2 linked regions of the Macaca mulatta genome follow. The protein of the gene in region 1 purifies or fractionates together with the protein of each later gene. This does not show direct contact. Links are inferred from orthologs where the notes say so. Each region holds a gene or a part of one and is shown in the gene's direction. Other genes may lie near its edges.

Region 1 (4,401 bases):
CAGGCTGGGATTGTGATGGATCCTACTGGATTTTACAGCTGGAGCTCCCAGGAATGCCCTCATAGGGAATGTCCTGAAGGGAATCATGGGTAACTTGTAAGCTACCTCAACTTATTTTTGGAACTATGTAAGATATAAGATGGATGGAGCTGGGTTGCTGTGCCTTTCTCGCCTTGTCCGCATAGAGATGCAGCTGCTCCTGCAGGCCAAAGTTCTGCACGAATCACCTCCACCTGCTTCCCACTGGGAGACAAAGGTCTGAGAGCCTGTTTAGCGATGAACCACGATGATCTTTTTTTTTTTTTTTTTTTGAGACGGAGTCTCGCTGTGTCGCCCAGGCTGGAGTGCAGTGGCCGGATCTCAGCTCACTGCAAGCTCCGCCTCCCGGGTTTACGCCATTCTCCTGCCTCAGCCTCCCGAGTAGCTGGGACTACAGGCGCCCACCACCTCGCCCGGCTACTTTTTTTTTGTATTTTTTTTTTTTTTTTTTTTTTTTTTTTTTTTTTGAGACGGAGTCTCGCTGTGTCGCCCAGGCTGGAGTGCAGTGGCGCGATCTCGGCTCACTGCAAGCTCCGCCTCCCGGGTTCACGCCATTCTCCTGCCTCAGCCTCCGAGTAGCTGGGACTACAGGCGCCCGCCACCACGCCCGGCTAGTTTTTTGTATTTTTAGTAGAGACGGGGTTTCACCGTGTTAGCCAGGATGGTCTCGATCTCCTGACCTCGTGATCCACCCGCCTCGGCCTCCCAAAGTGCTGGGATTACAGGCTTGAGCCACCGCGCCCGGCTGTATTTTTTAGTAGAGACGGGGTTTCACCGTGTTAGCCAGGATGGTCTCAATCTCCTGACCTCGTGATCCGCCCGTCTCCGCCTCCCAAAGTGCTGGGATTACAGCCTTGAGCCACCGCGCCCGGCCTACGATGATCTTATACTCAAGTCACTCCTGAGAAAGTCGGGTTTCTTTCTGTTTCCATTTCTATATGTAATTTTCGCTTCAAACAAAAATGACCTCGCTATTCCATACACAGTTTTGAATCCTGCTTTTAAAATGCGATGTCTGCCTTGTCTTTAAATATTCTGAGGGGGAGGAGAGGACATGTGTAACAGGACTGTCTATAATTTGAAACTGGACCTCACCATTTAGCGTCTCAGAAACGCGGGGTTCATTGCCCTGGCCGCTCCCCGCCTTCCCTCCGCCCCCCACCCCTCCCCGAGCCTTCGGCTGGCTCTCGCGGTCCCCGCCTCGGCGATAATGTAGTCTGGCGGCGGAGATTGGCGCCCAGGCGGAGCACGGTGGCCTTCCCCGCGGCAGGCAGGCTGCTGCTGCAGGTGGGTCCCGGCTTCCGTGCCGCCCCCCGCCTCCCGCGTCGCCACGCCCCTGCCCGCCCGCTCGGCTCCGCTCCGCTCGCATTGGCTCTGCGGGCTGTCTGTCCCCGCGCGGTGGGGAGGGGGCGCACCCGGCGGCGGGCTCTGCAGAGGGCGCCTTGCTTCGGCTCCCTGGAGGCCTGGGCGCCGGGCCCCGCGAGCGCGCCGCCACCTTGGGAACAGTGTTGGCCAAGGACCCCGACGCCCTACGTGAGTAAAGGCAGGGCGGGGAGCCTGCTGGAGAGGAGGGTCGGGGGCAGTGTCCGGTCAGCGGACCGCGGAGTGGGCAAGAGGCGCCCACTGGACATGGGGGATGTGAGCCCCCTGAGGTGCTGGGAGTAAGAACGCGGGAGGTCGCTTGTCCGCAGGAATCCGCGGCCAGGACGACCCTCATCAGGTCTGCCCACCTATCACCTTCGCGTTACAGCTTGTCTTAGAAGCATGGGTTGCCGGTGGCTTTTTTCCTTCTTTATCCCTCTTTGCGAAATGTGATTCTGGGTTTCTGGCCATTACATTATAATTCTGCAGACAGCTTGAAGCTGGGTTATCTGTTCCACGCCCCCGGCATTTTCCTTTTTGAGTACTTTATCCTGCGCTCTGTCTCCTGCCATAAGGGGCGTCAAGCTAGAATTCGAGATTCCTTCCTCCAGGAGGAACCTTCGTGGTCCATATCTGGTGCTGGGAAAGATGCATTGCTTTCCTCGGGTAGTGGATGTTCTTTGCTGCTTAAGGGAAAAAGGAAAGGGAGTGTTTTCTGTGACATGAGACTTGAAATTCTATCAGGAAATGAGCACAGGGACTTTAAGATTTCCTGAGGCGATAAAGCTACCCTTGCTGGTTAAGAGCGAATCCTTTGCAGTCTGACATTCTGCAAAGTTTTAATGTCTACAGACTGCATTATTTTCCCCCTTCAGTTAAGTTTCTGTTTGGGCATTCGTTTTATTTCTAGTGTGTGAGACACATTCAAGTGAGCTTCTCAAACCATTGTCTTTGCGCAATCCACGTTAGTTTCAAATGATACACTCCTGAACATCTCATTTCAATATTTCTATTATGTGGTAATACAGCCTCTGCTTAACAAAAGTGCTCAGGTGTTGAAAACTCACAAGAGGTGAGAAGATTTAAACAGAGTTATCAGCTGAGGTTCTAGTGCTCACTGAAATATAAATGTGAGGAGAAACACTGTCAAATGTCCATATTTTAGTTCCGTCATTGTTCTAGAATGACTTTATCTTTCTGTTAGAGGCATACAGTATGAAACACCCAACCTAAGAGAATATTTACTTAGATCATAAACTGATTTTCAGGGTTCCAGTTCTTTCCACAGTTCATAAAATTATGGGTTACCCACATGAAACTTCAGTGAAGGATTTACATAAAAACAATATAAAGAATGAGTCCCTTTGCTTATTTTAGGGCATCCACCCACTAAAATTCATAGGATCTTTGTTAGATAATCACTTCCCATTTCCATTCTTTGGTACCATCATACCATTCTGAGGATTAAATTTTCAATACACCTTTGTATTATCTAACAGTTTGCCAATTGCATAGTTTATCAACCTATTTTTGGCTGTTAAATTAGTTCCTGAACCGAAAAAGCAAAATATAAAGAATTTCTTTTTTTTTTTTTTTTTGAGACTGAATCTGGCTCTGTCGCCCAGGCTGGAGTGCAGTGGCCGGATCTCAGCTCACTGCAAGCTCCGCCTCCCGGGTTTACGCCATTCTCCTGCCTCAGCCTCCGGAGTAGCTGGGACCACAGGCGCCCGCCACCTCGCCCGGCTAGTTTTTTGTATTTTTTAGTAGAGACGGGGTTTCACCGTGTTAGCCAGGATGGTCTCGATCTCCTGACCTTGTGATCCGCCCGTCTCAGCCTCCCAAAGTGCTGGGATTACAGGCTTGAGCCACCGTGCCCGGCTTAAAGAATTTCAAAAGCTTGGTTTTCAAATAACAAGAACTCAGACTACTCTTGGTTCAATTATGAGTTGATAAGTGCCTTGTGATTAAATGACCATTAATCAATTTTTAAATTTTTTTACTAATGAATATACTGCAGATTAGTATCCCCAAACAATCCATTTTCTGATGAAACTCTTAAAGCCCAGTTTCAGAACATAAGCTTTAAGCAACAAGCAATCTTTTGTTTAATCTGAGCTCTGTTACAGCTCTGCCTTAATCTCAGCCAAATTGCTTCATCTGTAGATGGTGATACCACCATCTTTGTAATACTGTGGTGAGGATTACAGATGTATGTAAAAGTGTGTGCACCGCCTAATACCCAAGAATTGCTCAATAAATGTCAGCTATTGTTACTCTTACTGACCTCCAACTATGTGCAGATTATGGTGGAAACATGTGATACAGCAAATACAGTACTTAAATGAAAATGTCAAAATTATACAACTAATTTAAGAGTGGGAAATGACAGTAATGCTAAATTTTCCTAAGAATATGTATGAAAAGTAGCACTTCCTTGATGGAACATACATTTTTAGAACAGAAACCTTATGTTATAATGGAAAAACTAGAGAGTCAAAGTCTCTAGTTCTAACTCTGGCTATGACCTTATCTAGCTGCATGGCTTTTAACAAGACAATTGCTCCCCTCTGGAGTTCAGTTTTGTCATCTGGCTGGATTTGAGTAATCTCAAATAATCTCTAAAGTCCTTTGCAGCTTTAAAATTATTTATTGAGTGTGATAAAAAATACATTAGCTTGTTTTTCATCCTGCACTTCATTTTTTGTTCTTCCTGTTGTTTGCTTAATTTGCACTTTAGAGCCATAAGCAATTCACACAGACAACACAACTAAAGAACTAATAATATCAGACTTGCAGGGTAATCCAAAATGAAGTTTCAACAAAGAGGATAAAACAATAGAACCACATTGAACTCTTTAATAGGGCCAAAGTAAACCCCAACGTTTATTCTCCAGTCATTTCATTATTATATGGAAAATATGCCTGGTAGAATCTTATACATTCAGCTGAAATAGTCTCCATAGAAAATAATAGGCTCATAGTGAAATAAAATACCACTTT
Region 2 (3,646 bases), on another chromosome or scaffold:
TGTATGGGGAAAACTTTCAAGAAGAGTCGAGCTGCACTTTAAAGAATGGAAGAGCCTTAGCTATGCAGAAAGAGAGGAGAGAAAAAGTTTGTCATAAGCATGAATATTTCAGAAGTCTCTGAACCCCAGCAGAGATGCCTTCAGCAGCAGCGGCAGCAGCAGCAACTGAGAATACAAGTTCTAGAGTCCAGTAGACCTGAGATGGAATTGCCCCATCCCATGCCTCAATGTGACCTTGGAAGAGCTGTTTAACCCTTCCAAGCCTCAGTTTCCCCTTCTCTGAAATGGAAATCATCATAGCACTTGCCTTAAGAGCAATGGTTCTTAAAGGGGACCCCTTTCCAGCATCACCGTTGCTGGGGAATTTGTTAGAAATGCAGATTATTGGGCCAGGCACGGTAGCTCACAGCTGTAATCCCAACACCTTGGGAGGCCGACGCAGGTGGATCACCTGAGGTCAGGAGTTCAAGACCAGCCTGACCAATATGGTGAAACCCTGTCTCTACTAAAAATACAAAAATTAGCCAGGTGTCGTGGCGTGAGCCTGTGATCCCAGCTACTTAGGAGGCTGAGACAGGAGAATTCCTTGAACCCAGGAGGCGGAGATTGCAGTGAGTCCAGATCGCACCACTGCACTCCAGCCTGGGCTACAGAATGAGACTTTTTTTTTTTTTTTTTTTAATGCAGATTCTTGCTGGGTGCGGTGGCTCACGCCTATAATCCCAGTACTTTGGGAGGCCAAAGCAGGAGGATCGGTTGAGCCTAAGAGTTCTAGACCAGCCTGGGCAATATAGTGAGACCCTGTCTCTACAAAAACTTAAAATAACTAGCTCTTGAATTTTTAAAGTTTTTAAAGAAATGCAGATTCTCAGGCCACAGTATCACTTCCTAAATTGGAAACTGTAGTGTAGGCTCAAGGAGCTGTTTTACAGGATGCCAGCAGGCACTCAGCTTTGGAGGCCCCCACCCAGTAGGACTGTTGGATGGAGAAAGAAGCCTCATGGGCTCCCCAAGTTCCAGACCAGCTTCCCACCCTGTCCTTGTACCCCTTCCTCCAGGTGCGGTTCCCTTCCCACTTCAGCTCTGACTTGAAGGACCTGCTGCGGAACCTCCTGCAGGTAGATCTTACCAAGCGCTTTGGGAACCTCAAGAATGGGGTCAATGATATCAAGAACCACAAGTGGTTTGCCACGACTGACTGGATCGCCATCTACCAGAGGAAGGTGGGTCTCCCCTCCTTAAGCTGCTGAGGGTTTGGGAGCAAGCCGCGAGTCAGGGAGGACAGCCAATAGAGAGAAAGAGAAGAGAACACAGGTTCAGGAGCAACCTAGAGTAGAGAGCTTAGAGCAGTGGGGTCTAGAAATGGGATTCTGGGGTCATTTGGCCATTCCATGACCTTGTGCAGCAGATGCCTCTCTGGGAAATAATTTCCCCTTTGATGAGTTGGCTACATTAAGAGTTTCAGGCTGTTAAGAGGAATCCATAACCTAATGGGAAGCACAGGCCTGAGTCAGAGTAAATATCTCTTGAATGTTAGGCCATTCGCATTTATTGTTGTAATAATGATTATGTTGAATGCTGAGGTCTGGGTGATTCTTGATCCCTCTCCAGGTGGAAGCTCCCTTCATACCAAAGTTTAAAGGCCCTGGGGATACGAGTAACTTTGACGACTATGAGGAAGAAGAAATCCGGGTCTCCATCAATGAGAAGTGTGGCAAGGAGTTTTCTGAGTTTTAGGGGTGTGCCTGTGCCCCCATGGATTTTCTTTTCTTTTTTTTTTTTTTTTTTTTTGGTGGGGGGGTGGGAGGGTTGGATTGAACAGCCAGAGGGCCCCAGAGTTCCTTGCATCTAATTTCACCCCCACCCCACCCTCCAGGGTTAGGGGGAGCAGGAAGCCCAGATAATCAGAGGGACAGAAATATCAGCTGCTCCCCCTCATCCCCTTTGCCCTCCTGCCCCCTCCCCCACTTTTCCCTTCCTCCTTCCCCACAGTCCCCCAGCCCCTCAGCCCCACCCAGCCTACTTCTGCCTGTTTTAAACGAGTTTCTCAACTCCAGTCAGACCAGGTCTTGCTGGTGTATCCAGGGACAGGGTGTGGAAAGAGGGGCTCACACTTAACTCCATCCCCCACCCACACCCCCATCCCACCCAACCACAGGCCCCACTTGCTAAGGGCAAATGAACGAAGCGCCAACCTTCCTTTCGGAGTAATCCTGACTGGGAAGGAGAGATTTTTAGTGACATGTTCAGTGGGCTGCTTGCTAGAATTTTTTTTTAAAAAACAACAATTTAAAATCTTATTTAAGTTCCACCAGTGCCTCCCTCCTTCCTGTACTCCCACCCCTCCCATGTCCCCCCATTCCCCAAATCCATTTTAAAGAGAAGCAGACTGACTTTGGAAAGGGAGGCGCTGGGGTTTGAACCTCCCCGCTGCTAATCTCCCCTGGGCCCCTCCCCGGGGAATCCTCTGCCAATCCTGCGAGGGTCTAGGCCCCTTTAGGAAGCCTCCGCTCTCTTCTTCCCCAATAGACCTGTCTTCACACTTGGGCTTTGAGAGCCAGACAAAGCAGCTGCCCCTCTCCCTGCCAAAGAGGAGTCATCCCCCAAAAAGACAGAGGGGGAGCCCCAAGCCCAAGTCTTTCCTCCCAACAGCGTTTCCCCCAACTCCTTAATTTTATTCTCCCCTAGATTTTAATGTCCAGTCTTCCCTCAGCTGAATGGGAAGGGCATCCCTGCAAAAGGGAACAGAAGAGGCCAAGTCCCCCAACGCCATGGCCCGGGGTTCAAGGCTAGAGCTGCTGGGGAGGGGCTGCCTGTTTTACTCACCCACCAGCTTCCGCCTCCCCCATCCTGGGCGCCCCTCCTCCAGCTTAGCTGTCAGCTGTCCATCACCTCTCCCCCACTGTCTCATTTGTGCTTTTTTCTCTCGTAATAGAAAAGTGGGGAGCCGCTGGGGAGCCACCCTATTCATCCCCATATTTCCCCCTCTCATAACTTCTCTCCATCCCAGGAGGAGTTCTCAGGCCTGGGGTGGGGCCCCGGGTGGGTGCGGGGGCGATTCAACCTGTGTGCTGCGAAGGACGAGACTTCCTCTTGAACAGTGTGCTGTTGTAAACATATTTGAAAACTATTACCAATAAAGTTTTGTTTAAAAAAAAAGTGTCGCTGGTGTTCTCGACTTCGATCACCCACCCACACACCCCCAGGGGGTTGGAAAGGGAATTTCGGACCCCAGAGTGCAAGCCGATCAGGTCCCGGCTTGAAGTCCTTGTAAACAGGGTTTAGCTGAAATTCCGGCACTCCTTCGGCCCCGCAGGAGAAACGAGCGTCAAACTGCCCTCTGACCCCAGATTCGGGATCCCCAAATCTGCAGCGCGCCCCCTCGGCGTCCAGCCCGGGACCGAGAGGGCGCTCTAGGGAGGCGCTGGGGCCGGCGCGCCAGAAGGCCGAGCGGCAGCGGGGGCGGCCCTGGCAGGGGGAGTAGAAGGGGGAGAGGGTGCGCGCCCCCCTCCCCTCATCCTTAGCGCCGGGCCAGGCGCGCCTGAGGGACGCGGGGGCGGCGGCAGCAAGAGGGTCCCCGCAGCACCCTGCGAGCGCGGCAGCCCCGGCCCGCGGGCGGCGAGTTCCCGGTAAGTGCGGTCCGGAG

What was found.
Region 2: the proteins of AKAP5 (region 1) and PRKACA purify together in Homo sapiens (affinity purification with mass spectrometry; 6 studies listed by BioGRID and IntAct, with this or other methods). This does not show direct contact. The link is inferred for Macaca mulatta from reciprocal best matches to the Homo sapiens genes AKAP5 and PRKACA.

Annotation. Positions count from the first base shown.
Region 1 is NC_133412.1:137,558,522-137,562,922, forward strand, and holds the start of AKAP5 (A-kinase anchor protein 5), read left to right. Parts: upstream 1-1,471; 5' UTR 1,472-1,572; intron 1,573-4,401. UniProt on the Homo sapiens protein: Multivalent scaffold protein that anchors the cAMP-dependent protein kinase/PKA to cytoskeletal and/or organelle-associated proteins, targeting the signal carried by cAMP to specific intracellular effectors.
Region 2 is NC_133424.1:14,678,726-14,682,371, reverse strand, and holds the end of PRKACA (cAMP-dependent protein kinase catalytic subunit alpha), read left to right. Parts: intron 1-1,058; coding exon 1,059-1,223; intron 1,224-1,611; coding exon 1,612-1,737; 3' UTR 1,738-3,159; downstream 3,160-3,646.